Lepisosteus oculatus: one gene and its partners. The protein of the gene in region 3 interacts with the protein of the main gene of each other region in a pairwise test. Links are inferred from orthologs where the notes say so. Each region holds a gene or a part of one and is shown on either strand. Other genes may lie near its edges.

Region 1 (7,634 bases), on a different chromosome or scaffold from region 3:
ATACGTAGCCAAGCCTTCCCCCTTGGAACCAGAAACATAATCTAGCAGCTGTATTCACAACGTCTATGAATAAGCATTTATGTAACTCATAGTTTAAGATGTCAAACATTCATATGCCTACTTGCATTCTTTGGACGTAATTAGTTGTTAGATTAAGCGATACAAATAGTCGATAGATTAATCGTTTACAAAATAATCGTTAGTGGCAGCCCTAGGCCCTAGACACTGTGCCTACAGTGCCTAATGGGGAATCCAGCACTGGTGGCTGGGGATTTGTCAGCAGCTGAATTGCATATTATGGTGTCCAGCAGACTGTAGGAGGAGCAGTGGTCAACTTGTAACTAGAAGGCTGTACACTCCTCTCGGACTGATGGAGTAACATACTCAGCTGTATAAATGGGTGCATTTGTAAAGCAGTCCATCCATTTTGTGGCGACTTCATCCAGTAGCGGGTTGTGGGGGATCTGGAGCCTAGCTCGGCAAACGACAGGCGCAAGGCAGGATACACTCTGCACTTGACACAGGTTACACCAGGGCCAGTTTTCCCCCAAACTGATTAACCTACCAGTGTGTCTTTGGACTGTGGGTGGAAACTGCAGCACCTGGAGAACAGAGAAACTCCACACAGACAGCACGCCAGGCCTGGAATTGAGCCCAGGGCCCCAGCACTGCAAGACAGCAATGCTAACCACTGTAGCCTTGCTGCACTCACAGCATCCACTCGATGAATTGTAAGTCACTAAAAAATAAATGCATCAGCCAAATAAAGATACTTAATAGAAGGCCTATCTGATTACCCTAAGGTTACCAGGCCCGGGGGCCAATTAATCAACGCCTGTATCAGGACACAGTGCGTCTCCAACCCACTCTGAAGCAACAGGCAACCTTGCAATTGCAGATACAGACGCAGCAGCCCAGAGCTAAATAAATCAACAGAGCGGTTTTGGACTTACAAAGCACGGCGCCGAGTCGAAATCACTGGGGGACTTTTGACATTATTTAAGAAAGAATTGCTATCCACTCCCCATCTATTTGAAAGTTTTCTGCTCTGAAATGGCCTGGGAAGAATGCCAGGCATAGGAAATTGAAAGTCGACACAGAGGGAGAAGTAATGGGCTACAAATGCGAGGGCTCGCTGTGTGTTTACAGATAATTTGTGCTTGGTTTTTCTAAGACGATCTGTAATATTTGGCTGTAGATGTTTTTATTTTAGTATGCTGTCTTGCTGTTAAGATGTGCCAGGCTCTGCAGTGTTTGTTTTAGCTGGGCAAGACCTTGCTGGTCAAGATGGATCTAAATAAAGCTGTTGGGAACTACAGAGTGAACAAAGGCTCTTAGCTGCAGCTGATATATGCCTGTTCGTTAAATTATTTTGTTGATTTGTCTGCCCAATGCGAAACTGCCGATTGCTTCTTTGTGTCTGGGCTCACAGTGACGACCCCTGTACCTGCACGGGGAGGATGAGGAAATGTGCCACAAGGCTCACTGCGATGTACAGGAGGGTCAATGCTGATTGGAGGAGAGGTGTGTCCTGCGATGATGTCATCGCATGCCTCGAGATTCCCAGGAAGTTGCAGGGTGTTGCCGTTTTGTTGGCAGTTAAGCCGACTTCTTTGCATCACTGAGCCATTTGGCTGCCACTGTTGGGGCAGTCCCAGTTTTTGGCCGGCAGTGTCATCTCTCTGGCTCAATCTCTTGACATCTGGATAACAGAACTCAGCTTAGTCTGGGTTGAACACCTTTTGCTGGCTGAGCCTTTTAGGATCCCCGATACCCCCCTTTTAAATTGTGTGACCTTAGCCCTGAGGAGGAGCATGATGAAGATTGACATTGTGTCAGCTCGTTGCTGTAAGACAGGAACTGATGAGAGCAAGGTGACAGTGTTCATAATTTTTAATGTGTGCAAGAATGGGATGAGATGAAGACCTTTTCCTCCCGATATCCTTGCTTGAAGACGAACAAGACAGATGCTGAAGAAATAAATAGTTTTGTCTCACTCCATTTCTTCAGAAATGAACAATATGTGATTGTTTTGGAAAAAAAAGCTCCAAATGCCACGGCTGATTGGATTACTCATGAGATGGCTTATTACTGTTCAGTTGACCTTTATCGTGCGTTTCATCCTGGTACAAATTTCTGTAGTCTCCTCATCACTTAGTGGGAGCTGAAATGAAAGTACGTCTTTGCATGATTGCATAAGCAACATTACAAATGAGAGGGTGGCATTCAGCCAGGCTTGATCTTATGGTTACATGGTGCTTATTGATCAGAAAACTAATCAGGCCTCCTCAGGGGTTGTGGGGAATTGGTATTCATGGCGTTGGGTAGTGTCATTGAAGAATATCCTATGCAGCAGGATAGGATACTTCAGTTACTCAAGCTGCTGTCAGCCTGCAAATACTGAATGTACTTTGTGCGTATATCCAAACAGCATTTTCACACTTCTGAAAATCAATTCTGTACAGAAGGTTGCGCAACACAGAAAATTGGAAATGTGTGTGATGTCCTGGAAACACTTGCACCTTCTAAGAGTCATGGAAACTAGGAAGAACTGTTAGTTCCCAGGTGTTTCATATAGCTACTTTTGCAGTGCAAACATTAAGTACGTGCATATGCTAATACAGTACCTAGATGTGCAGCTAGAAAAGCAAGAAATCCAATTGGTATTAACCAGACTGCAGCCAGCCATTAGGAAATTGCTGTAGTGGGCTATACATGTTGTGGTACAAATTGCAAACCCAAGGTTGCTGGTAAAGTTAACTGGAGGTCCTGAGAGCAGTCCTGACTGGTGGTTAAAGATATTGGGGTGCTTTTTGAAAGAGCAAGGGCACAACTGACTGTGCTCCATTTTCACACCTGGAAAAAGGCAGTAAATCCTCAAATCCTCTCCTCTCCCCGTGATTTGCTTGAGTGGAGCATAGCTTGTGTGCAGAGGGAGTTGTGCTTCAGCTGTGTTTATCCTCTCATCTGTAAAAGCCTGAAATCCTGCGGGTGAAAGAGGCTGTCTATGTGCACAGTGCTGATACTATTCTTTATACGACGGATCAACCCACATTCTCACTGGACAGGTCAGACAGCTGAAAATGCTATGGTTTTATACAGTCCTTTACTGTGAACTATATATATATTCTAGGTGACAAATAATGATAGCTCTGTGCTTTTAAAAACATCTTCCTTCCAGCAACTGTTATTCCACTGCCAGAGGAAAAATGCTTCTTGTTGTAGTCCCTGTCTAATCTCATTTAGTGTAATCCCTCTGCTGAGTTTTAGTGAGGAAATGGAAGCTGCTAAAATCATAAATATAGGAATATATTTTTATTACCTTTTGGATAATCTGAGCCTTAAAGAATAATTAGGATAAAACGAACATACAGCAATTTAGTTTCATGAAAATATGATGACCCAAAAGCTACAAATCAAAGCATCTCTTAGATTTGAAAGAATGCAATGTTAGGCACCAGCAATATTCTCTTCAGGGTAGGATATGCAATATTGTAATGTGTGACACGTTCAGCTGAAAACCCCCCGATAGTGATCTGTTCCCTCGCTTGCCTGTCGGGCACCTCCCTGTCCTGAAATACTGTTAAGTCCGTTTACATGCATATTTTACAGCACTATCACGAGCGATGTAGAGATTCACTACACGAGCGAAGAATAACAGGGCTGTCAGGTCCCTGTTCTGTGCTCTGAATGCCAGATGGATGAGGGGAGCAAACAGGAGGTCAGAGATGTTCAGGTGGGGTTGAATTTAGCCAAACAAAGAGTTTAGGCCTCTTTATAACTCAGACAGGACCATTCCTCCTAGACTGGGACTCCCAAACCAGGGTCTGTCCCTCCAGTGCCTTCTGGGTTTCAGTCCAGCATGCTCAGAGCTGAGCTTAGTAATCAGAGAGCAAACCCAACCAAGTATTAGTTGGATTAAATCATCAAGCGTGTAATACAGAGGTCATTTGGAACAAAAATCAGAAGATGGACATGTATACTTCTCTGAATTAAAGGGCTCCTCATTCAAACCTAATTAGATCCGGAGGACCTGAATTTCTGTAGAGGTGCAAAAGTAGTCATTACTATGTCAGTGCAAGCTTTCGTTCCCCTTTTTCTTTGCCCTGTGGGTGCTGTGCAGAGCAGCGCTTAATGAGATCTCGGCTGAGACACTTGTTACGTAGAAAAAGGATTTTATTGATTAAAGGCAGAAGCGTGTTTGTCAAGGTGCAAGAAGCAGCAGAGCCCTTTCCAAAGCAAAAGAAGCACGTAGCCCCCAGTTACATTTTAGGAGATGAAAACAACAAAGCATCCAGCCTCTTAATTGTTTTTCTGCCAGATCTGATCGGATATTGCGGTGTTGAGTGCCAAGGAACTGGGTGTATAGCTGCCACTTGTTATCAGTGTGGAGAAACAGGGGGGTGGGGCTGGAAACGGTGTGACGAGGTGATTGGACAGTGTGGGCAAATGAGGTCACTGTGGGTGGGGAGTAGAGGGAGGGGCCTTGTTTACTACACTTACTATTATTATACATGCCTGCCAAGACGCAGCCAGTGCTTAGTTAACTCCTCCTCAACCTCCCCACCCCTCCCTTTCCCTAAGACATTGTGGAAGATGTCAGCGTGAGCACTCAGCCCCTTCCCTGCAGACAGCTGCTAGAGAGAGGGTGCTCAGGCTCGTAAGGAAAACTCAGCCGAGCAGACAGGCTTGAGCTAAACCCAAGCTCCAGCAAGAGATCGCTCGTTCTCTCTGCGTTTCCGCCCCCCCCCTCCGTCAAGCCGTGACATGGCCAGCAGCCGCTTGAGGAGATTATCCCTGGGGGAGATGGGCTCTTTAAACTCCTCGGAGGGCTCGGAGCTGAAGCTGAGCAGAGAAGGTAAAGTGTGGTGGGTGGGAGGAGGAGGAGGAGGGGGAGGAAGAGGAGAGCGCTTTTTTTTCCACTGGGTTGGAGGATTGGAAAAAGCACCATGTTCCTGGAGTGCCAGTGTCTCGGGGCTGACTGGGGCTCAGAGCGAGAGATCAGAGCAGAAATTGCAGGATTAGCTCGAGCTCAGTTAGGGAAGTAGTTTCTTCAAGTGTCAGGTCAGCGGGTTGAAAGTGTAGCGACCCAGGTGAGCTCACACAGGATGAGTGGATTGAGGCAAGGAGATTCTCGGTTTAGACAGAATACCCCCGGCCTCTGTCAGCTTGTTTTGTGTCTGAAATGGATTTCTGATGCATTAAGGCTCGTCAATTTCAAGATCGTATTTTTGTATTGATTTGTATTTCCCGTGTGTGATTTGATGTGGGATGTGTGTGGCATGCCTGTTGTTTCAGGAGTGCTTGTGAGCTCTGATGTTTGTTTCGGATTGTGTGCTATGTTTAGCCTGGTGTCACACCACAGGGTCTCAGCTGCCGTGCAAGATCGGGAGGATGTTTTCCTGGTAGGGAGGAGGAGTGGTTGTATGAGTGTGATCTGGCTCTAAACAGTCTTGATATTGTGAATGAAATCGCTCTGGTCCAGAGACTCTGTAAAAATGCACTTGCTACATCCAGCAAGCTGCTGGCAAGTACATCAGGTTGTGATCTCTGTCTGCTGTGTGGAGGAGACATGGCGAAGTGTCTCAGTGAAGCCGGGACCCTCTGTATTGCTTTAAAATACGGCGGTGATGGTGATTGTAAAATTCTTGGTGCATCTGGCACCTCCTGAAGCCAGATCTTCACTGCTTCTCAACCTTTTCTCGTTTTTTTTTTGGAATGTTGTATTTGTAATATACGATTATAGAGCTAGGCAGTTTTATGTTTGTTCCTGGCTGAACATCAGACTCTCAGAGCCTGATGAGCTCTTGTTTAGTTGTAGCAAACGTGTCTCTCACAGTAGGTTCAGTATCCTTCCCAGGACTGTTTTGCAGGCCCCTTCTGCACTGGAGCCTGGAGCCCGGAGCCCTGGCGGAGAGCTCAGAGGCTGTGTCTTTTCTCCTGAGCTCTGTACCGTCTCTGATGTGGTTTAAACAGCGGTGTCTTCTGAACTTTTCACACTCTCACCGGAACCTTCCTTTGCTTCTGGCACTTTTCCATAATCCGTGGGAGGTTATAATCATTGACTGTATTGCACCTGTAGTATGTGCACTTCAGTACTGTTTAACCCTGGCAGCTTAATAGTGCAGACATCTTTCCTGAAAGCTCAGCGGTCTTTGGTTTGCAAGTGAAGTCAGAATGCCAAGCACTGAAAGATTGCTGGAAACTTAAGAAGCCCCATGTGGTGCCTGCTTGGAGATAGGCAACATTCCACTCTCCAAGTAACTAAGGGGCGTCCTGGAGCCTGTACCCCTATAATTACAAGATAGCTCTCTCCACAAGACCGTAATTCAGACCAGTCTGTGGATCATGCAGAGGAGAACACTGCTAATGCGTTAGGTTATGATGTATAAATAAATGGTTCCTAGAGATTCTATTAATTTACTTAATATCAAGTTCTATAGAGGGCTTATAAAGCTGCTATAGATACACAGTGGTGTTCATCCTGATTTTAAAACAAATACTAACCTTGATCTTACCTAAAGACTACTAAAATATCTGGATGTTTTAATAATCTACACAACTTCAATTCCTAGTAAACTGGAGTTAAATAGAAGGCCTAGTAAACCACAATTATAGAACTAATAATCGGTCTTTTTAACTCTTCTAGACAGCCTCTGATGTGTTTTATGAGTAACATGTTTTTACTAAAATGAAAGTTTTTAGTAATCCACTGTTAAAGACCCTATGAAGAGTCCTGCATATTTCATAAGGAAATAATTAGGATCATTGATTGACTGCACGGGTTGGAACAATAAGCAGAAGACGCAAGACCCTCCAGAAATTGAGGTTGAAAGAAAGGCTGACCAGTATACCTTGTGCTGCCTTTGAGCTATACTGCTGTTAATAAGCAGCTACAGTACCTGCCATAATTTTAAATGTCCAATTCCAGCCCGTTGTGGTTTTGCAAGACACAGATACCCCAAAGGTGTCTTAAAAATATTAGAAAAGCATCTTAGAGTAAAGGAGTTTATTGTCATATGTACATGTATATTGGGATTCTTACTGTTCTCTCAGAACATACACAGTACAGCAGACAACACCACACAGTGTAGCCACTACATTACAAAATGGTTCATAATAAATAGTAACAACCAGAACAATAAATGCGTTGTAAGAACAATCAATGTAGTGAAAAGTACATAGAGCAGTGGATTGAGTTCTGAGGAGCTGCACAGTTAGCTGTTAAGCATGTGTACTGACAGTAGGGTTTTGACATCTAGCAGCAAAGACGGACATAAAAAACACCAGTTCCACTTCTGCAAACTGCAGAGATGTGTGGCTGTGCAAGCATGGGATGTCCAGTCTTTCAGAAGGCTGTGGACCGCAGAGACACACGCTGTGCGAAACGAAAGCAGATGGCAGAGCCTTGGGTATCCACAGGCCCACTGCAGATGCTCACTGCCACTGGACTGTAAGCCTTTGCCAAAGAGGTTTGCTGCTTGCAAAACCTCATGCCTCGTCAATAATTCGCTTCCCAAATGAGGGACTGCCCTTCTATACTGCTCGGACTGAGTCACGAGCAGCCCACGGACCTGTCAGAGAGAGCCCCTGCAGCCAGACCTTGAGGTGCGTAGAGGGATTTGCTTGCAGAA
Region 2 (7,292 bases), on a different chromosome or scaffold from region 3:
CCATGATTATAAAAGTATAGAATTGTCTTTTAAAATCTCGACTTAACCATTAAGGGGTGACCACGTGGAAGTGTAAATATGAGGTTATCAGAATGTTGTAAACTACATCTGCCAAAGAAAACGTGATCACGGTATACGTCACGAGTTTGCCTATGTGCGTTAAATGTTTCCTGTTCTTCATTCTTACCAGTTTTTCTTTCTCTGGAACAAACATTTGACCAGACAATGCAACAAACATTTGACCAGACAATGCAGCTATTCACAGCATGCATCTGATTTTGTAGTCCCCCAGGCAGTAACGTGCTGTAGTTTAAGAACACAGCTGTGTGCTGAAGGCCCCGCCCTGGACAGCACCTTAAAACCCTTTCGGGTGCGCAGAGGGCTTGGTTGCTACGCCAACGGAGGATACTTAGAAAGCTGTTCAAAGCAAATTATGCATCTTCTGTGATGCTGAATACGCTACTTTAAAATGGTTTGTTTTTCTTGTTTTTAAGTAAGAGCTGCAATAATTTCACACCTCAGCAGGAGAAGCTGGCTTTTTTAATAGTCCTGGTGACTCAGCAGTAGTTAAGACTCTCTTTGCTGTAGGTGGGTGCTTTTTTGTTTTTCAGGTTGTGCTTGTGGCATCTGAGAGTGACCTCACCATTAGTCATTTGTTTTTTTTGTTTTGTGCTTCTGTTTGGTTTTATTTTTTTGGCCTGTGACCTTGGATGTGCCAAAGCAGGAGTTTTACAAGCTGTTGACAGGTATTTTAGCTGGCAAATACAGACTGGACCTGTTTTATTATTTTAAAATACACTGTGAAAATGGTCAGAAAGCTCACTGTTGGTGTGTTGGGCATATCGCTCACACACAGTGCCTGTGCAGTATGTTTGGTTACAATGTACTGTACTGCTGCTGAGTTCATTTTGTGTCAGTGTTAGTGCTGCAGCATGTGTATCTCTGCAGTGTGTCCTGTGTGCAGTGTGGCCCTGTGCTCTTTGCAGTGTGCAGTGTGTCCTGTGCTCTGTGCAGCGTGTAGTCCAGAGCCACGCTCTGCTCGAGTTAATAGCAATCCCCTCAAAAAGGTTTCTCCGAGTTCAGAGATGTCGTAAGAAATAACAACCAATGCTGCACAGCTGAATCATCCAAAGCCCTCAGCACCCCAGTGGGAAGGACAAGAAAGGGGATCCTTTCGGAACAGCAGGTCACCTGAGGAGGACTCGCCCCCCTTACGCCCAGGCTGGACACTCAGCCCGCTTCTCTTGTTGTCTTGAACGTTAGGCCGGTGGTCAGCGGGGCGACCCGTGTGTGCGGTTGCGTGGGAGGGAGCTGTTCGCTCTGTCTTTCAAGCATGGATTGCTCCCTGTCCTTAGCTAATACCAGGACAACATCCAGCCCGCAGCAGCAGCCTCTGGGGGTCCTGACCCTTCTTCTGCTTCTTTCAGTTTTAACGCCCATCAGTCAGGCTGTCATAAACATCAAATCCTAGTTGGGAGCTGAGTGGCGATGGGCAAATCCTAAAAAACAGATTTCCTAATCCGGTGTTTCTGTCTGTGGATTAACTGCGATCAGAGGGAGTGCAGCCCAGGGCTGGGGATTAGGCAGGGGCAGAGCGTGCCCATCCCTCAGGGCACAGACGCACAGCGATGCCGTGAGCGCGGTGGTCATGCAGGACTCTGCTCTGCTGAACACAGCCCACAGCTTGTGACGCGTGGCTTGTGATGACAAAGGCTCACGTTTTACTCGATGCCTTTCACGAAACGTCTCTGCTTGCAACGTGCTGCGCACAGCCATGCAAACATTAAACATCATTTTTGATGAAATGAACTTTGTCATTGTGCAGTTACGAGGGTGATTTGTGATTTAACAATCTTCTGCGTCCTGTTGTTGTGACACAGTGTTTCTTAGAAAGTGCTACTAGACAGAAGGAGCCCAGCAGAATGGTCTAAGTGCTCTTGTCTTGATTCCAGTCCCCCTTACAACATGGTGCAACCCGATTTTCATTATCCATTGTCTGGAATTGGTAGTCGCAGAATTCGGGCTTCTGCAGGCTTGCTGCAGTCCCTCCAGTCTGCAAACGTGCTGCAAACTTATCCAATCCCTCTTTTACTGTGCTTTATGCTTTACCTTCCTGTAATGAGTTTAGACCAAGTATTTGCCATAAATAAAACTCACTGACCTTTTATAGTATTGTGAAATATTCATTAAGGTATTGGTTTGTCATAATTGTTTTATGATGAAATAGATTGGGATATGTGTGAGATAGGCGCCTTTTCATAATGGTTCTGAAAAAGAGTTTTTTTAGTTTGCCCGAAGTAAACAGACATGACTTTAATTTTTGCCTTTTCTAGCTCTGCAGGTCTTCTGTACTGAGGATACACAGTGTGATTGAAGGCCATCAAAAAGCACATTGGTGGGGTGAGCCTGTCAGCTCATGCTGGGTATAGGGAAATGACTGTGGCCAGTTCTAATTCCTGTACAGGTAAGCTCTCGATGGGCAGACTTTTAGCGTTCCAAGACGTGAGTGCAACTACCTGAAGGGCTATTGACAATATCCCTTGAAAACAAGCTGAGAGGGTGCAGTCTTCAGAATTTCAGAAGTCTTTTAAAACAAAAGAATATATCTTTCGGATTAAAAACTGGTCAATGGATAGGAACAGTACAGATAAGAAGTGATTGCCAAGACTGGGAGATGTACAGTAATTAGTGGAGTACCACAGGGATCTGAATGAGGTCCAGTGCTCTTCCTAATTAATATAAATGATATAAATGGTTATGTTTATAAATGTAAACTAGTGTAGCTCTCAGATGAGGATTGGCAAACACTGCAGAACATGGAAATTCAGAGATATTTAAATAGTATTTAAGATTGGACAAACCACTGCAGATGACATTTAATATAAAAAATGCAGTGCAGCACAGGGACTAGAATTTAATCTCAGGGATGTTATGATTGTACAGTGCTCTAATAGGACACATATACAATATTACATGCATCGCAGCATGATGTTGCTGCACGGCTGAACCCGATACCCTGGCTTCTTTCAAGAAACAGCTGGATGGGAGCCTAGGATCAGTTACAGGTAGCGATCAGCAGCCAGACCAGCCAGATAGGCTGAATGTCTCCCTCTCGTTTTGTAGCCTTCGTGTGAGATTTGAGAAGGAGGCTGTCGTTTCCTTCACCTGCGTGAACGACTGTGCATTTTAAATGAGCCTGGGAGACGGCTCTCCTCCCTCTGCATTGACTTGGGCTCCCTGCTGACATGCACGGGTTCAGAGCGCAGTGGGGCTTGTGACCTGGGGATCTCCAGCACCCAGTCTCTGGCCGCCTCCCAGCCCTGAAGGTCTCCTTTTCGCCATGCTGGGAGTGACGGTCTGGACACAAGGGGAAGGGGGGGGAGAGCTGCTGATCCGCGGAGCAGTGTAGGACGTGAGGTCAGTGCCGTTTCCGGACCTGCAGCTTCCTCAGCTGGAGCTCCTGTCTGCACAGAATGATTTCGCAGAGCTTCAGGTCTGGAGCAGGAGGCAGCTGCTGGGCATCATGCAAGCCTTGCGGCCTTGGCAAGGTGTCCTGAAAGATGCCTTCGGAAACTAGAAAAAGGAGACCAGTTTGCTCAAAAATAGATTTTGAAGAAATTGTCTTTCTAAGTCTTCCGAGTTAATTTGTTGATTTATACACTGCACATCGTTACTTCGTTAGAACTTCAGATTTTATCACTTGTCGTGAAATAATTTAAGATTGTGGTCAGGGAATCAAGCCACAGGCCGGTCCGAACTGTAGCTGGAGCTCGGTGGTGCCCATCTGTTGTAAATGCAGTTTTATTGGCCTTTTGCTTTTATAATAGACTCTTTGTATGTAAGATCATCATGTATTATTTTAATGATCTGGTGAGCAACATTCTTAGTGTTTTATAGTTCAGACCTGGTAGATTTCACATAACATAGTTCATACAAAACTTAGCAAGGTTAACAATTTCTTACACGGTTCAGTGACAGCTACGGAGAGCGCAGTTAATATTCTAAGATATGATGATGAGATATGATGTCCAACATGAACCTGGATCTCTCAGAGGGGTGTAATGTGAGTGGACATGCTACTTACAGCGTTTACATACAGTACCAGCAATGTTTACCTCGACATTGGTGAACTGTGTAATAAACCAGAACAAAATCTTTAATTGTTTCTAGATTTGGGATTTGGGATGTTGAAATTTGGGCAGGCGATGAGTCTAATGAGAAATTAACTATAAATAATATCCACACATTCTTGTGAATCCTGACACGAGGAAGAGCACAGGAGCAGTTCATCTCCTCGATCAGAACTGTAGCGCTTGTCGCGGGCTCTGAAAGCGGAGTGGTGCTGTATTTCTAAGCAGCTGCAGCAGCACTTACATAAGATTATTGCTTCTGCAGCTGAGGGGGACAGTGGAGAGCCCTTGAAAACAAGGGATTGTGGGATTAGAGGTTCCAGCTGGTATTAGAGGGCAGAGCTCGCCCGAGCCGCACAGCCTTGATTCGGTCGCTGCCCTGAGGACCCGGAGCCCACACAGAGCGGTGGGCACGTCACCTGTGTCATCACTCCCTCCCGGAGCGGGCTGGCATTCCCCTGGGCGATCGCACCGGAGGACTCCCACCAGCAGTTAGTCACATTGATCTGCGGAGACGAAGCTGTCGGAGGGAAGAGTGCAGGATCTGCTCTGTTCCTCGCGATGGTGTTCTCGGCTGCAGAAGGATATACAGACAGTTTAGATTCCTCTCCTGAAAGAGACAGCTCTTCTTCAGGGGGTGAAGCTAATTCTTCTGTAGGTGAGCTGGTTGTTGGTTTTACTCTAAATCGCAGGGGTACTGGTCCTGAAGAAGCAGTTACTACTCGATTAAATAGCAGCTGGGTTCAGTCTGGACTTCTGGAGAAGTTGTTTCCTTACTGTGAGGTACTGTACTGTTATTATGCTAAGTCTCTCGAGTGCTAAATGTCAGTATAACCAGGGGTTTCGGTGGGGGCTGTCATATAAATTGATTGTCAGGAACAGTATTCCAGCCTGTGCCAGTTCAGGTTTTATTTCTGGATTCTCGCGTTTGCAGTGTTAAAAGAGCCGGCAGCCGTCCTGAGAGGGAGTCCCCACGTGCACAGCAGGATGCAGCAGTGGCGGGAGAGATACGAGGCGCGTCGCCTGGCTCTTGAGAGGCAGGATTGATGTTATTCGGGAGCTGCGGAGAAGGAGCCGGTTCCTGCTCTGTACTCCCATCTCATCCCTCCGCACGAGGAAGTGAAGTGTCACTATCGCAAGCGTGCATGTTGATTCACTTCAGCTTGCACCATGAGAGAGGGTCTTAATAAAATCCCTGCGGTACCTGATTACTTCTGTTGTGACACAGTAGTAAGCTCCATAATCTCCACAGTTTCCTCACTGGAGACAGGCTTTGCACTGGCCTGTGAGCATTTTCCTCCAGTCCCAGTCTTATATTTGCAGATTTATCTGTCCTTGTGAACAGCTCAAATTAATGAATGGGTGAATGGGTGTGTTGTGCAGCGTTTTAGAAACCCATGAATATGTAGGAATGTTTTAGTGTTCGTGCTCTTCGATGCAGCGATGCTGCAGTGTCGTGCCTTCACTCTGGTCAGATGAGTGTTCAGTCCGTGTTGCTGTGAAGCATGGAGACGGTGTCAGTGCCGTGGATGGGATCACCTGAGCTGGGTTAGACACACAGGTAGAGCCAGCTCTGCGGCGTGCTGCTCTCCTGTGTCGGGTGCTGTCCAGAGGTCCGGCAGAGCAGACCTCGGATTCTGCCCGGGGCTCTTGTGCTGCTGGGCTCTCTCCTGAGCGCCGCTTGTCCACCAGCGTGGCCCCCTGTCCCCCTGTTGCTCCCTGTCCGTGGCGCCATGCTCGTGAGCGCTCGGGCGAGGGGGCTGCATGCCGCATGTCGGCTCTAGAAACATGCAGACACCTTCGTCTTCAGAGGGGAGGGAATCTCCAGTAACCCTTCGTAAACCTTTCTAAAAGAAAACCACTTCATGCGGCTGTCGTTGGCGTTTGGACTCCCAGCTGTTTGTTGCTGTCGGGCAGTGAGACTGGTAGCGCGCTAAGCCTGCGCTGATGAAGCTCTGAAATGTCTGAAGAAGGTCCTCATTCCTTTGCGTTCCTCTTTTTTTTTACATACAGCGTTTACTTTTGAAAGCATCTGGGACAATGCTGGAGTTCTTGCTGAAATATGCGTCGCTTGTCAAATGTTTCTTGCAGTATAGTCTTGGCTCTGTTACGTATGGGCATAGATTTTATTAATTAGTTTTCTTAAATAATGTGCCTTTTCATTCTCCTATTCCTCAGGGACAGCAATAAACCTTTGTTTAATCCCATCTGAGGGCTTATTGTGCAGTTTCAGATGGATGTTTCAGCGCTGGCAGTGCTGGCTGGGTGAGCTCCTATTCTCTGTTTCCCTGCAGCCTTAAAGGACTGCTCTGACGCGGGGGTCTGTGAATGAGAGCACGAAGGGGCTGGGGGCTTTAAAACACTTCGGCCCTCAGCGGCGTGGCAGCCAGAGGGGCCTCGGGGCCCCCCGCCCCCCCGCCGAGCCGCTGCTTTGTGTTTTTGCGCGGTGGGCACGTTGGCGGCCCCGGCTCGGAGGCTGACCGCTCTGCTGCGCTCGCCGACTCCGCTGTTGAGACGACACCGCAGCCCTCTGGCTTGAGCCCAGCGAGGTCCCGAGGCCCGTCAGTACCGGGATGGGAGACCTTAAGGAAAACCCGGTGTTGGCGGAGCACAGTTTCCAGACCGGTGTCCCATGGTATGGTCACCAGAGACACTGTGCTGTAGTAGGGGTTAAACCAAGATCTTGACAAGTCGCTCGTTAAAGATGTTCGTTAGAGCAGGGGTGTGCGTCCCCAGTTTCCTGGCTTAATTACTCTGGGCTGTGTGGTCTGGCCCTCCTAACTGAAGGATTGAAGTGAAACACTTTCTCCCATGTGTGCCTGGGGCCGCAGCTCGGTAGTGGGTGAGTGGGTCCCCTCCTGTGTGCGAGTAAAGTACAGGAGCCCGGGAAACGCGAGCGCTTGGTGCACACCTGACGGAACTCATACAGGCTGTACATCCCCGTCAGAGGCATTCAAAACTTTCCTTTGCAATTTACAGGTCATCTGAATGTAAAAGTCAAAAAGACGTGCCTTCCTGTTGTAGTGAAAGTAATTTGCGCTCTGTCCAGGTTCCCCTCGGAGGCGTTCGGGTTGGTCTGGGCTGCTCTGCAAAGCGGCGCCATCGCAGAACTAGGAGTGGCTGCTGTGCTCATTCAGTGAGGAAGGAAAAGCCTTCAAATAA
Region 3 (7,860 bases):
AATACATGAAGTCCCAGAGGAAAGCCAAGGATTAGCCCAGATGTCATCTCACCCCTGGTGGTGCTCGGCCACTTGTGCTTTACCATAGTGGATAATGACAAAGCCCAGGTGGACTGGGCGATGACCGAGTCATTTTGCCCATGACCAATACTTTAATTCCTAATATTTGCTCATTTGTTACAACATATCTACAATATTGCAGTTGGCAATATTGCAAATTACTCTTACTGTCACAAGTGTGGTGTAATTTAAAAACATTTTGACTGAGAAACCAATTAATTATTATACTATGAGCATACTAGTATAATATCAAATGCAAATAGCACAAAATGTTGCTCTGATGTTTTATAAATGCCAGGACATCATCCCATATGGCCACAAATACCTAATCTCCTCATGTCCTCTTTATTGCAGACTCTAAGCTGTTTCTCTAACTCATTACAGACAACCATTTGCTGTTAGTCATTCAGCTAGAATAACCCATCTCTTAATTCTTCAATGTCGACAATGTTGTATCAGCTGTTAACTGGATGCACATCCATGGAAAAAAAACAGTGTTGGCTTCTGCAAAAGTGAAGGATGGCAATAATGAATACTTTAATTAACAATATAATACAAATCTGATGTTAATGGATTTGGTTTTCTAGTTCTTGCAAGAACAGCTAATGCCCTGTTTTGGAGGCACATGAATTAATATGCAGTATGCAATTTCTTGGATAGATATGGGTTTGTGATGTTTCCATCATTATGTTTTTTATCAATTATTTTATTTGTTAAATAAATGAACTAAAAGTTTCAGAGTTTGTTTATTACTTGTGTAAGGATTTTCTGTTTTACATCTTAGTTAGCAGAACAAGCATCGTTTAAAATATAATGAATGTAAACAAGAATAAGTGGAGTACCATAAAAATGACTATTTACAGTGTTCTGATGAATTTCAGCAAGATGGAAAGTTTACACTTATAAGTGTTCGATTGAGTCTTAGAATGTGCGTGGGATTTAAAAATGTTTAACATTTCTCAGTAAGTATTTTACCATTTCTGTAAAATTGCTGGAATCAATTAGAATTTCCCTTTTCCAGATCTACTATGCTTGCTTTGTTTTATATCACAAACTTGAGAGTGAGAGGCCAGAAATTTATGGCAATGAGAGAGACTTCATTTTCTTTAAACTGTCCTGACATACAGTATAATGATTTTCTACAAACGTTCCAGATTATTTTCTTACCATAAAAAAAATCAATACCAATTATAGAGATTGATTGTAGTACTAACATCAAAGCTAACACGATGTATTACGCAGTCTGAAAACAGAGAAGTAGCTCCATTGCATTTTGAAGTAATATGTGGTACTTTTACTTTTTATTTGATATGATTTTGTAACAGAAGTAGATTGCAAAGGCTGATCAAAGGCTGGGGTTTAAATCAAAATAGTGATGTCTATATATATATAGTAATACTGTATATATTTAAGTTCCCACTGCATACTGACACTCCTGATCAAAAGGACTCAGAGAATAGAAAATAAAGTTAAAGGATTTAGCAATATAATGTCTTACTATGGGAAAAATGCCTTCAAAATAGTGTCAGCTGCTGTAGACCAGAAACGTACACATTCTCTTATCATTACGACTACCATATCCAAAGGTATTGCATTTTTAAGTATGTTTTTTTATGTATTGTAAATGTACAATATGAACCACACAGATCTAGGAAAAGAAAGAGCACAAGGCTATTGTGTAAAACCACTTAAACACCAGATGAAGAAAGATGAGTCCTGAATGTATACAAAACACTTTTTTTCCTATTATCAAAATAAGCTTCTCATATCAGATGAATCCAATATATCAAGTAGTGAGTGTATTTCAGTCAAGCACAGCACAAATGTCTCAATATGTATGCATGTATTTTTATAATATACTGCATGTAATAGGGTGTTTCTATAAATAAGTTAGCATTTATTCATACATACTGAATAAATGCTAACTTATTTACAGAAACACCCTATTACATGCAGTATATTGTAGAAATACATGCATACACTTACTGTATAAGCAATAATAAAGCCATAATACACATTAGTTTTCCACAGTCAAATGTTGCGCTGTGACACCAAAGCATTGTACCCAGTGTAATGAAAATCCCAAATATACATCTGAGGTTTCAGGAAATATATACTGCATACTGCTTTTTGCTGTCAGTTTTAAACTGCATGTTGTACACGTGGTTCTATAAGGGACTAAAGAGAAAAAAACAACACTGGGTGGCCAGATCAGGGCAGTGAGATGGTTGATTCAATGTCCAGTGCACCCATGCTTCATGTGCTATAACAGTGTGCTGAAGGAACAGGCAATGGGTCCAATGCAGCAGAAAGATCCCCATGCAGGATGAACATGATCATTGGGGAGATGCGCAAGTATGCAGCAGATCAGTACTTTGCAGCACCACAGCTGCCAATGGATTACATTGTGCATGGTATCATGGGAAATGTTGAATTCCTTAGCTCTTGATAGCAATTTTCATTTACCTCTTGTTTCCAATTAATATCTTCAATGGAGCAAATACATGTCAATTGCATAGTTGGACACCATGTTGCTGCTCATCAAAAATGACTGTCCTGATGTAATTAGTTTTCAACTGCGAGAGGCCTTGTTATCTCATGTAAGGAAATGCTCCTACATGTATATGCGTTTTCACTTCTTTAGGTAACCCAAAAGATAAGAAAATGAGCAATACATATAGAAAATATGAGTAACAAAGAAAAAAAGTAAAGCTGGTTATCAAATAACAATGAGATATTCTGTAAACTTGCTTTACAATCAGAAGTGAATAATGCCCTGGCAAACTAAAATGTTAATGGTGAAAAGAGAGGAATATTTTTATCAACATTGTTTTAATATAAGAACCCAGTGCTCCACAAATGTTCATAATGGCCTGTGATCTGTTATCTTTATAAAACATTACATTGCCTGTGACCTGAAATTAATCTACCTGTCATCAGTAGTGCTCTTTCTTGAGCCTAGTGCAGCACCAGCACAGAGATCCCACTGTGCTTCCCTGTTAGCCTGTAAATCAAGTCATAAAGGCAGAACTTTAATCTATACCTTGAAAGCAGAGCCCCTGTGTTTCTGTGTAACAAACCAGCTCTGTTATTTTTACAAAAAACATACATCAAATCCTAAATTTGTTGTGGCAAGTTTTTAAGAATCCTTGTGCAGGTCTCCAAGAGAGGACGAAGGTTTACGAGTCTGAGAGGGGTGAGGCAGCAGAGAAGCCAGTAGTTCCAAGTGAGGCCAAATCTGGATAGAGATAGGGAGAGTATCAAGCCAAACAAATCCGAGAGGGGCGAGACGAAAGATTTGTCAAGAGGTCCAAGGCTAGAAGAGCCTTCGTAATGGAGGTCCGGGAGAGAGAGATTGGATATCAAGGGTTGAGGATGATCCAAGCTCCCATTCCTAATTAGATTCCTAATACCAAGCGATGATTCGGAGTGAATGGAGGGTTTAAATAGTGAAGGAAGGGGTGCGGAATGGAAATTAAATAATGAGGGTTAATTGACGCCAGCTGCACCCCTAACACTTTTGTTATCATGAGTTACAATCTAGTATTTGGAGCTTCTATTACAACACATTCATCTTTAATGAGAAAGACGTTTATTCTTGCTAAAGGCAAGAATAATGCCTGTAGAAACTCAGATCCCATCCTTGAAGCTAAGGGAGCAAAGGAGGAACTGTACCCTGGACAGGATGCCGGCCACATTGCATACACACACCATGTAGACCATGCACCATAGCCTGCATGTCTTTGGAAGATGGGAGAAAGCAAGAGCACCCAGAGAAAACCCACACCATGCAAAGTCTATGAAGAAGGTACCCCAGACTAAACATGAGCCATGGGCTAGAGAACTATGAGCCAGTACAGTAGTACTAACCTCCACTTCACTCTGGTACTCAGAGGGTTGTTTCTTTAATTAGATACCGTAACAAGAAAAACACATTATTCAATATACAGTTTAAAACCCAGGAAAGACAAAATAAGCAGCACGTTCAATGTTTAACAATTGTTTTCAAAAATATTTACAAGAATCTAAAAGTAATAAAAACGTACGTTAAAGTCTTGACTTTAATGTAAAGATCTTTTTGTTTATGTCACATCGTATTCCATTTTACTTGTCCTGTCCTGTAGTTACTTGTAATATATATTTATCTTACTTATCTACATGCATATTTAATTATGCATACATACAGTCCAGTTTCTGAATGTTAGTAACACTGGATGTAACAAACTGTAATTTCTATAATATAAAAATAACAGTTAATAATATACTGCCATGTATTCAACCAGCATTTTCCGCTAATGCTGTACTGCCATAATTTAGAAGGCTATAATTGAACGTTAATAAAGAATTATTTATACATCTACAACGTTCGTAAATTAAATCACGTCAAAAATGCATTTGAACTTACATTTACATACTAATCATTATTTAAAACGTGTTTGTTGTAGCAAATTGTCGGAGAGCCTTTCATGAATACAGGTCACTGTAAAAGCATTGTGAATTTTTAGTAAATGATCATGTTTACTATTTATTTAATTTGGCTGCTTTCTTCAGTGTTGCAAAAAGTTACATATCCTTCCTAACACCATACACAAACGAGTCGGCAGAAAAAAACAGATGCTACGACTAATGCTTCGGAACGACCTAGGACTGAAAAGGTAATCCTGTAAACCCTGAGTCTTCCAGCCACTCCCATTGACTGGCTCGCTTCTCTCACTCGCTCGCTTTCGTGGAGTTGCTTCTGATGCTGCAGCTAGTCACTTTATCTCCAACAGCAGCAGACATGGCGACAGTGGTCCAACCGCTCACTTTGGACAGAGGTAAGCTTGGGACCAATTTATGCATATTGTTGCTGCTTCTGGATATTTATCTGAGACAAACTTCATGGAAAGGCAAGGGAAACAAATGATTTATCATATACCCAAATACCGTATATCGTTCGCTTTACCCCCCTCTACTTATGTTTTCACGAAGATTCTCAGTAAAATGTATCAAGTGGAAATGATGCGCTCTGTACGATTTAAATGCAACTGCATTTTAACGATGAGTAAAGAAAACTGAAGGCAGTTGGATCCCTTTCTCTGTACTCTCTAAAATGTACCAAATATTATATTATCCGAAGAAATAAAACATCAACTAATACTGCATTTTAATACGAGACATTTTTTTTGGTTGATAAATTATAGCAAATGCATTGATCGTAACGTAGCAGTCAAAGTCGCCATTTGAGACAAACTGCTGAAATAGTCGCGCTCGTTAATATAAAATGGGATAACTTTTATGTGGTTGTAGAATTGGTCGAAACACACGACAACTGTTGGATGAATTTCCTGAATTTACTCATGACATAAGGAAGCTCTTAGTCGCACGGCAGGCTCTTCACTTATCAAGATAAAACATGTCACTTGCCTACAAAGCACATGTGAAAGACTAGTATAGAATTCGACTGTGGGCATACTGTACATAAATACTATAATTAGAATCACGAAGATCTGCTTGTCCAGTCTTACACGGACAGCTCATTTAGATAACACCGCCAGCGTTTTTGTCATTTGACATTCTCTGTAGGAGCTATTGGCTGTCATACACGATTGCATTAAGCGCAACGTTATACAGTAGGTTAAACGATGGAGCCAGACGTATGACGGCATACAAATTATGAAGAAATGTAAATGCTTACGATATTCTCTCAATTTTCTAGGTAGTCATTAAAATGAATTATAATTTAGCTAATTTTGTTATAGTTCTTGCTGTTTAATGATACTGTATTTACGCATTATTTACCACAGCTTAGCTCTGATTTTTTTTAGTACTGTAGCTTGCTATAGTTACAGTTGCTGTTTACTGATATTAACTCATGTTTTATATTTCTGTACAAAATCACTGTCAAATAAAAATTCAATTCGCACAACTACACAGAAGCATGCCACATTGACACCAATTTGTAAAGAAGCTAACTGATGAGATAAAGTAAAGGAAAGTCTGTCAGTCATCATGTAGCTGAGTATTATAAAGAGCAAAAAGAGATACTGTACTTCAGTATTCCAGTCATGTTAAAGGAACCAGTGACTATGTACTGTATACTGTAATGATCATTGTCCTCTTGAGACAGGACATACAGCAACACAGCATCCTGGGTTCAAATGAACAAAATTACCATACAGGAAGGATGGGAACCCTGTGAGATTGTTTTGGATGCTCTTGTGTTCTCAAAACGTATTACTCCTACTTTGTTTCTGAGCAACAACGGTCCTGCATGTCATGTGTTTGTTAAACTGTGTATACTGAGGGATTTGGGGGTGGTCCCTCATCACTGATCTGAGTTATGAGCCCTTTAATCACCTCTTGTATTGGTCAATATAATAGAAAACCATTTTTGAACATAAATTCTGTCTCTTCTTCAAAGCTCTCAAATACACTTGTTAGCAGAAATACAACTGTTAATGATATACATTTTGAAAACATTGCTCTCATACTTAATAAAACAGGACTGCATGTCTAATAATAAACAGATCTGTGTCTCATTGAGTTATATAATATATGTTTTTGACCAGGTTTTATAAACATGCTGTATGACTGACATTTAATATGAGTGTCCATCTGTTACTATTGTAGCAAAATAAGCAGTAAAAAAACCCAGTTTCAGGAAGTAGTGTGTTTTTATTCATAAGTCAAACTCAGTAGTAATCTGGTCATTACACAGAGATATTAGGTTAGGTTACATGAGACAAATTAGAGAGTTTAATCAGAATATCACCTTCAGTATATAGTTTTCCAGCTATTGGTCTTGCTTAACTAACTTGTTAAGAGTTACATTAAGAAGCAACAACAGCACTAGGCCCACAGAGGGCATATGGTATGGTTAATTTAGGATTTGATAAAGTAACTCAAGAAAGATTAATTGTGTGAAATGTGTGTGCTTAATAGAAAACAGAGAGTAAAGATGAATGTAAAGTGGTGAATGCTGAAGCTGGGGTGACTTGGGATGATGAAATTCTGAATACTGTATTACTGTACATGCAGGAATAAAGACAGAAACTATACAGTATATACAACATAGAAAATACAGTAGAGCCTCGCCATTTGAATCCAACTTTCGTGATTTTGTAAATATGCTGATTTAAGATCTGATCTGGCCGTCTGGCCAGCAGAGTCTTGGATGAAAGAAGAGTGGAGCAGGATGAAACCAAGCCAAAGATCGTTAACTGCAAATTTCAAAAGAGAATAGGATAGCAAGATGAATCTATTGAGTGAGCCTCTCCCAGCCTCTGCTCAAGTACCCACTACCCAGCATCTGTGCCTCAGTGCCGTCTTGTTTTTTCTTATTGTAACGATCACTTCCGGTTCCGTGTCGGCAGCATGGGCAAAGACAGGCTGGAAGATAACTTTCCAGGCTCACTGACAGTTTTACTGCCCTTTTTATTGCAGTGGGGCAATGCAGTGAAGGCTTCCTCTGGCCACAGAGGGATTCATATTGTTTGTCTTAGCTGATATAAGTTTGTGATTACAGCTGTTTGTTTAAGTTGATTAATGTTATTGTGATTAACTTAAAGCAAATGCATGAATACTTTAATTATCATAAAAAGGAGGGTTACCTGTGTACATATGTACATTATACAATGGTATAATTGGTGTGTGGTGGAATGGGTTGTATGTGGATTTGGCTACTGTGATGGATCTGTTCACCACACTCTTGTGAATGCTGAGATCTTAGTGTAATAAGCTTGTTTCTAGATTATGTTTCTTTTACAAAATTAATAAAAAGCAAATACAATGTTAGGATATCGTATAAATGGTTTGCAT

The links. The genes of interacting proteins can lie anywhere in the genome.
Region 1: the proteins of lin7a (region 3) and mpp2b interact in binary tests that used the Homo sapiens proteins (3 or more experiments, as listed by UniProt). The two-hybrid records come from large-scale screens. The link is inferred for Lepisosteus oculatus from reciprocal best matches to the Homo sapiens genes LIN7A and MPP2.
Region 2: the proteins of lin7a (region 3) and pals2b interact in binary tests that used the Homo sapiens proteins (3 or more experiments, as listed by UniProt). The link is inferred for Lepisosteus oculatus from reciprocal best matches to the Homo sapiens genes LIN7A and PALS2.

The regions. Positions count from the first base shown.
Region 1 is NC_090723.1:7,491,941-7,499,574, forward strand, and holds the start of mpp2b (MAGUK p55 subfamily member 2b), read left to right. Parts: upstream 1-4,537; 5' UTR 4,538-4,767; coding exon 4,768-4,858; intron 4,859-7,634. UniProt on the Homo sapiens protein: Postsynaptic MAGUK scaffold protein that links CADM1 cell adhesion molecules to core components of the postsynaptic density. In CA1 pyramidal neurons, required for synaptic KCNN2-containing channel function and long-term potentiation expression.
Region 2 is NC_090705.1:1,081,105-1,088,396, reverse strand, and holds the start of pals2b (MAGUK p55 subfamily member 6b), read left to right. Parts: upstream 1-4,195; 5' UTR 4,196-4,691; coding exon 4,692-4,788; intron 4,789-4,974; exon of another isoform or gene 4,975-6,367; coding exon of another isoform or gene 6,368-6,395; intron 6,396-7,292.
Region 3 is NC_090702.1:19,594,519-19,602,378, forward strand, and holds the start of lin7a (protein lin-7 homolog A), read left to right. Parts: upstream 1-4,757; 5' UTR 4,758-4,801; coding exon 4,802-4,877; intron 4,878-7,860. UniProt on the Homo sapiens protein: Plays a role in establishing and maintaining the asymmetric distribution of channels and receptors at the plasma membrane of polarized cells.